2 linked regions of the Sus scrofa genome follow. The protein of the gene in region 2 binds, or shares a complex with, the protein of the main gene of each other region. Links are inferred from orthologs where the notes say so. Each region holds a gene or a part of one and is shown on either strand. Other genes may lie near its edges. The genes, in order: UCN and CRHR1.

The links.
Region 1: the proteins of CRHR1 (region 2) and UCN are in contact, whole or in part, in a cryo-EM structure (PDB 6PB0), measured with the Homo sapiens proteins. The link is inferred for Sus scrofa from reciprocal best matches to the Homo sapiens genes CRHR1 and UCN. Residues at the interface, in NP_004373.2 of Homo sapiens: Leu106, Asn107, Glu109, Lys113, His117, Val120, Asn123, Trp169, Val172, Gln173, Ser177, Pro178, His181, Gln182, Thr192, Tyr195, Asn196, His199, Phe203, Phe260, Gly261, Lys262, Pro264, Tyr270, Tyr272, Gln273, Met276, Ile277, Tyr327, Phe330; in NP_003344.1 of Homo sapiens: Asn84, Pro85, Ser86, Leu87, Ser88, Ile89, Asp90, Leu91, Thr92, Phe93, His94, Leu95, Leu96, Arg97, Leu99, Leu100, Glu101, Leu102, Ala103, Arg104, Thr105, Gln106, Gln108, Arg109.

The regions. Positions count from the first base shown.
Region 1 is NC_010445.4:111,833,261-111,836,630, forward strand, and holds UCN (urocortin), read left to right. Parts: upstream 1-821; 5' UTR 822-1,607; intron 1,608-1,851; 5' UTR 1,852-1,864; coding exon 1,865-2,248; 3' UTR 2,249-2,672; downstream 2,673-3,370. UniProt on the Homo sapiens protein: Acts in vitro to stimulate the secretion of adrenocorticotropic hormone (ACTH). Binds with high affinity to CRF receptor types 1, 2-alpha, and 2-beta. Plays a role in the establishment of normal hearing thresholds.
Region 2 is NC_010454.4:17,250,589-17,254,342, forward strand, and holds the end of CRHR1 (corticotropin-releasing factor receptor 1), read right to left. Parts: intron 3,576-3,754; coding exon 3,534-3,575; intron 2,728-3,533; coding exon 2,587-2,727; 3' UTR 773-2,586; downstream 1-772.

The sequences.
Region 1 (3,370 bases), on a different chromosome or scaffold from region 2:
TTTATTGAACCATATGGTTTTGTCAACTTTAGCTTATACCCACATCCCAGTAAATGTCACTCATTCCTCCTTTTCATAGACACATCTGTTTTCCAAACCCTTCCCAGCCTTAGTGTAGCTCTAGTTTTGGAGGGACCACCCCCTTGAACCCTTTATATGGTGCCTCTGTAAATGTTACTAAGTAGATAACCTGGAACCTGCAGAAGCAATAAGACCCAGCAAAAAACTGCTGAGGGGGGGCTACATTTTCTAGAGCTTGGAAAGAAGCCTGGAGACCACCAAGCCCAATCTTCTTTTACAGATGAGGACACTGAGGCCCGTAGAAGTGAGGTGACCTGTCCATGCTGAGTTAGTGGCAGAGTAGAAACTTGAACCCACAAGGTATAGTCCGAATGTCTGTGTACTCCCCAAGTTCATATGGTGAAAACCTAATGCCCAAGGTTGTGGTATTAGGAGGTGGGGCTTTGGGGAAGTGGTTCTGTCAGGAGGGCTGAGCCCTCATGGGATCAGGATGCTTACAAAAGAGGCTATGCGAGCACATGGCAAGAAGGTGCTATCTCTGAGCCAGAAAGCATGTCCTCACCAGACACCAAACCCAGTGGCACCATGATCTTGGACTTCCCAGCCCGCCAGAACTGTAAGAAATAAATATTTGTTGCTTATAAGCCACCCAGTTTATGGTAACTTTTGTTAAAGCAGCTCAGACTAAGATGCCAAGTTTTCTTCCTACCCAGCGATCTTAACTGGGAGGTCAAAGATAAAGTAATAACTACTGCTGCTGTGATTCCCAGGAGGAAAATTAACTTGGCTAAACTCCCACTTTGGAGCTAACCCAGAAGCAGATGGACCAGCCTTTTGTTGCCCGGAAGCACCCTGAGTCCAGAGGCCCTTTTTTTTTTTTTTTTTTTTTTTTTTTTAATGGTGCCTCAGTCAGACAGCCCTAGAATTTAGATCCTGGGGCCAGAATAAGATCAAGAATCCTGGCAGCTCAAGCTGCCTCAGCTGCCCCTTGGGTGGGTACCATGGCCATAGCTGAGTGCCAGTGGTGCTGTCCCAACTGGCTCTGTTTACAGAACTGATAGCTGGAGCCAGGGACTGGGTCTGAGCAGCGTTTTCCCTACCCCTCTGGCCCCTTCTAGAGGCTGAGGACAAGGTCAGCACCACGGACAGCCCCAAGGTCCAGCCTGCCTTTCAAGTGCCTGAGAAGAGATCTGGACTAGTCTGGTCTGGGGACCCGCCTCTCGTCCCTGCTGGCTATCCTAAGTGGTTGAAGGGCTTCTGTGTCTCCCAGAGCAATCTTTATGCCCCAACCCGGCTTCTCACTTTCTTGAGTCGGGTGTCACTTCCAGCCATGCCAAGTCCAGTGCCCTGAGGTGCGCCTGCTCGGGGTCTCGCAGCCGCTATAGGTCGGACTTGAAGCCGCGGCCGTCATTGCTCTACAATCAGTGCATGTTCCTTGCTGACGTCATTCGGTGCTGTCCTGGCGCTATATAAGGCTGGCGGCGGTCCCGGGACAGACCCCGTGTTCCCCAAGGCGCCCTCAGCCCGCCCCGAGGGACAGAGACTGGAGCTTGGTCCTGCACGGAGCAGACGCTCTCCCGCAAACTGTGAGTGGCTCTGAGCATCCGCCCAGCTTCCCTCAGCACCGGGACAGCGCTCAAATCACCCACCACCAAGAGGGAGGGAGGAAAGGGTGGCAGCGGCTGGGGCTGGAGGGAAGGCTGCGGGCTCCGGGCAGCAGTCGCAGGGGCTCGCTAGGGAAGGGACGCTGGACGTGCGCGGGAAGGGGAGTGGTGCCACCTGCGACTGTCCCAGACGCACCTCACCCCCGCGCTGCCTCTGTGTGTCCAGGGCCGGTGGCACCATGAGGCCGGCGGGACTTGCTGCGCTGCTGGCGGCCCTTCTGCTTCTGGCACAGCTGCGTCCGGGGAGCAGCCAGTGGAGCCCAGAGGCGGCCGTGGCCGGGGTCCAGGACCCGAGTCTGCGCTGGAGTCCCAGGACGCAGAAGCACGGCGGCAGCGGGGCCCGCGCCCTCCTCTTGTTGCTGGCCGAGCGCTTCCCACGCCGCGCAGGGCAGGGCCGGTGGGGATCCGGGGCCGCAAGTGAGCGGCCGCGACGGGACGACCCTCCGCTGTCCATTGACCTCACCTTCCACCTGCTGCGGACCCTGCTGGAGCTGGCGCGGACGCAGAGCCAGCGGGAGCGCGCCGAGCAGAACCGCATCATATTCGACTCGGTGGGCAAGTGATCATCTGGGTCTGGGGCCTGAAACCCTCGACCTGCATCCCCACCCCCAGGCTGGGCGTGAGGGACTGGAACTGACCTAGTCCCGCGCGGCTAGAGCGGCCTAGAGATGCCCTGAGCACTCCCCACGATACTAGTTTTTAATAAAAGTGCTGAAGAGCCGTTGGCCTCTGTTTGGGGGCTCAGGGAACCACAGCAGGGTGGGAACCTGTGGGAAAGTGGGGCCGCCCAGACCGGAGAGAGGGAACCGGGTACTGCTGGAGGGCTCCGGGAGGACGGCTTTCAGCCAGGTTCCTGTGGTCCCCATGTCCCCAAGTCTCCTAGGAACTCAAGCCCCAGTACCGCCGCATCCCCACCCCACCCTCTTCCGTTGGCACTGGGCTCGCGAATCTGTGCCTGATATCAAGGAGATGCCCAATAGGGGTTCATTCCACTTCTGCTCCCCAAATGGTCCCAGATTTGGAGAGGGCGGGAGGTGATGCGAACGTCTCCGAGGCTGAGAGAGTGAGCAGCGAAAGGAGCGCGGGTGGGGACGCATTAGCTCTTTATTGAGCCCCTCCCCCGCGGCGGGGCGCCGAGCTGGGTGGCGCGGTGGTCTCCGTTCAGATCCTTCACCACCCGAAAGTCAGGCTCCCCAACAGGGGCGGGTCAGTGCAGTCCTGCGCCCGGAAAAGAAAGCTCCATGGGCAGGCGCTCCAAAGGAACAGGGCAACTCCGAAACACAGCTGAATCCCTTTCCCCAGCCAGGAAAGCCTCTCCTCCACTTTCCCGTCCAACCTGGCCTTCCAAACCCCAGGGAATGAATGGTGGGCAAGGAAGTTGTACTTCAGCCCGCGCGCTAGGGGGCGTGTCCCGTGGGGGCCACGCGCGATCCCTGATGCCGCAGAGAGGGCAGTGGCCGGAGGAGAGGGCAGGAGCGGAGCAGCCAGGCCCTGCCATGGCCACACTCACCTTCCGGCCCATCCGGCCGCTCTTCCTCTGGCCCCGCGCTGCCCTCTTCCCCGTCCAACGCTACCTCCTCATCCTCTTCCTCCCCGGAAGCGCCTGTGCCGAACGAAAGGCCGGGTGAGTTGGAGCCCCTGATTTTCAGGACATACTGCCCCACAGCGCCCCCACCCGGAGGGTC
Region 2 (3,754 bases):
TGAAGGGTTACGCTCGCTTCTGTGGGAGGGACCATGGTTCTTGGCAGCCCCACTGGTACCCCAGCAGCCCCTCTGCCCTAACAGTCTCTGGACACCAGGAATCCCAAGGTCCCCCCCCGCCAGGGGCCTCCAGCAGCTTCTGTGGTGACCACCAGCCTGGCCTTGGATGTCCTCCCACGACCTGCCAGAGCCAGCAGCTCTGAGCTCTGCAGCTGGCTGCCTGTGTACAACTGGGGGTGCTGCTCACCTCTCCCCATCACGCAAGGCTGTGCGCACGGCAAGCGTGTGAAGGATGCCCATCACCCATAACAGCCAGGAGGCACAATCAGGGAAGGGGAGTTGCCCCAGCCTGGCCCCTTGGCCTCTCTGCCACCCCCTCATAGAGCGCCCCCAGCCCCTCTCAGGCTCCCCCAGCCTTGCCATGCCCCTGCCTCCACATCCCGACATTGTCCACACACAGCCTTGCTTTCTCACTTCTGCCTCATTGGATGAAGAGTAGCATTAAGAAAGACCACTTGAGGGAGTTCCCATTGTGGCTCAGTGGGTGAAGAACCTGACTAGTATCTAGGAGGACATGAGTTCGATCCCTGGCCCTGCTCAGTGGGTTAAGGATCTGGCGTTGCTGTGAGTTGTGGTATAGCTACAGACACACCTTGGGACTGGTGTTGCTGTGGCTGTGGTGTAGGCCAGCAGCGGTAGCTCTGATTTGCCCCTAGCCTGGGAACTTCCATATACCACAGGTGCGGCCCTAAAAATCAAGGAAAAAAAAAAAAAAAAGATGCTTCAATTGTGCCTCAGTTGTGGCCATTTGAGCCTTAACAGTCAATCAGGTGGGAAGGCGCAGGTGTGGCTACCACCCAGCTTCCCCAGCTCCCAAGGCAGGACAAGTCTCCAGCAGCCCCCACTCTTCCTCCTGCCCTCCGTTCTGGGCCTCATGCCCCACCCACCACCCATGCGCTGTGTGCACTAAGCCCGGAGTTTGTTCTCCAAGCCTTGTCTCTGGTCTCCTTCTGGGGATCCTACCTTCAAGACAGCATTCAAACCTGTTCAGCCTCCCCTGCCTCCTAACGCCTTCCCGTTTCCAGCTCAGAGCCTCCCTGGGGGCTGGGACGTGCTCCGGCCGGGTCCCACAGCCTCATCTTTGTCCAAGCTGCACTGGATCCGTGGTGTCCTCCACCTGCAGGGTTCACCACGGCCCTTCTCCCTCCAGCCCGCCCCCCTGTGCTTATGACCTGGGCCCTGCAGACCCCATGCCCTTCTAAGCCCTCTCCTGCCCTCACCAGCTCCCCTTGCGCCCCATCCTTGGTGGGTGTGAGAGTGCCGTCAGGTTCCCCAGCCACACAGAGGCCCTAAAGGCTGAAAGTCGTCTCCATGTCTTCGTGGCATACCCCCTTACCCAGCCTCAGCACAGACCAGGCCTTCACACGTACTGGTTGAAAGATAAATATTATTATTTACACCAGCCGCCCCCATCTCCCAGCCCCAACCCCCCAAAGCCCTGCTCTGGTTGTCCAATACTTCTGGATATGGCTGGGTCCTTACCTGGGGTGTGAGCAGTAAGCTGGCTGTTTTCCCCAAGAGCCACCTGTCCTGTTTTAGGGACCTCAGGGCAGAGAGGGGCTGGTGTCCTGCCCTCTCTGTGCTTAGCTAATGATGTTGCCCCAGAGGTCATCCAAGGGCCACGAGATCCCTTTGACCAGCAGAGGGTTGCCCCAGAAGCGGGTCATGGAAGCCAGCAGACTGGGTGGCCCCAAGTCTTCTTTGCCCCTTGAAGGGTGGCTTTGGCTGGGGCACAGACTGGCTTTTGCTCAAGGACACTCCGCCACCCTCCCACCTCCCCATCTTCTCACAAAGGGGGAGACACCTGGGGCAGGAGGTTAAGGAGGGGGAAACCCCTGTGGGCTGTGCGGTGGTAAAGGCCCAAGGGTGCAAGGCAGCGAGGCAGGGCTTTTCTGGTGGCAGGACCACGGGGTCAGATGAATTTCTGGTGGCTTGGGAGGATTTCGGAGATGTGGCCTGATGTCTGATGATGACACTTGATTTCTAAGAATGTCTTCAGGGCTTCTGACAACATGGCCTTGGTTCCCAGGGCTGCTGGAAGGCATTGCTAAGGCCCAGAGGCATCATCACGATGGCTCAGATGCTGTCACAGGAATTTCCCATGATGCCCCTGAGGCAGTGAATGGCCCCTCACAGTCGCTGAGGACTCCAGCTGCCATCTTGTGCTCCGGGAGAAGATGCCTCTTGGAGGGACCTGCTTTGGATTCCCGCTCTCCACCTCCCCTCCATTTCTGCTCCATTCTCCAGGAAGATCGGGGCAAAGGGGAGCCAGAGGCCCTGGGCCCAGCCCAGTCCCATAGGTTACAGTCCATTCATCCCGTGCCCCACCTCCCGACTGCTCTCACAGGTCTGGTATTCCTGCTCAGCTGAGGGTCAGGGAGGATCCTGGGCTCTCAGGGCCAGCTGTTCCTGGGGGTACAGGGTGTGGGAAGGACCTGGTCCCCCCTACAGACAAGGCAGCTGGCTGAGTCTGGTGACCATCTTCCCAAACATAGATCTCGGGGGGCTGCTCCATAGCCCCCCAACTCAGACCGCAGTGGATTGCTTGATGCTGTGAAAGCTGACTCGGGTCGGGGAGGTGGGGATGGACATGGCGCGGGCCACACGGGCGCGGATTGAATGCTTGTCCTGCCATCGGTGCCACCTCTTCCGGATGGCGGAGCGGACCTGTGGGCACAGAGCAGAGCAGGGCTTTAGGACACCCTCTCCCTCCCCCAGGGCTGCCACAAGCAGCTCTACTTGTGAGCAGCACACAGGAGGCCACAGAGGAGGTGGCAATATTCACATCGTTGCTGATTTGCGGGTTTGTTTGTTTTTTTTTTTTCCTTTTCTTTTTACAGCCACACCTGCAGCACATAGAAGTTCCCAGGGTAGGGGTTGAATTGGAGCTGCATCTGCAACCTACACCACAGCTTGTGGCAATGCCAGACCCTTAACCCACTGAGTGATGCCAGGAATCAAACCCGCATCCTCGTGGATACTAGTTAGGTTCTTAACCCACTGAGCCACAATGGGAACTCCTGATTTGCATATTTGTTAGGAAAATTTTCTCAAGCATTCTGAACAAAGGATGGCTTTTCTGAATCCACCGAAAGGTGCCATATGGCCTTTGCCATGAGGACTCTATACCCTCAACCCATACACCTCTCCTGCCCTCAAGCTACATACACTTCCTGCTCCAGGGCTCAGCTTCCTGGTTTTCAGCAACTCATTTCACAGACCCATTGACAAGACTGGAGCCCCAGCTTCAGGCTCCCCTCACCCACTGCCTACGAGAGCAAAGAAGCAGGCTGGCCACTGCAGGAGCTGTGTGGGCGGGTGGCAGGGACTCTCCCGGGCTCCCAGCAGCATCCCCTTAGGGACCTGGGAGCAGGGAGGAGAGAGCCGGCATGTGGAGGGCAGGAGGAGGCTGCGGGCAATCTCGGGTCCCAGCAGGCCTCCTGCTGTCCTGAGCCCGGGCCCCAGGTCCTTACCTCGCTGTTGAGGAAACAGTAGAACACGGACACGAAGAAACCCTGGGGTGGAGGGAGAGGACGGGTCAAGGGACCGGGGCAGGTGCGGCCCCACCCAGCCTCAAGGGCTGCCCCCCTTTCTGTCCCCGGCCTCCTGCCCCTCCAGACCCCTGCCCGGAGAATCCCCACCCCAGGAGGTGCGGGGGTTGGCCAGGGCCATAGCCAGGGCGGGAGGGGGCGGG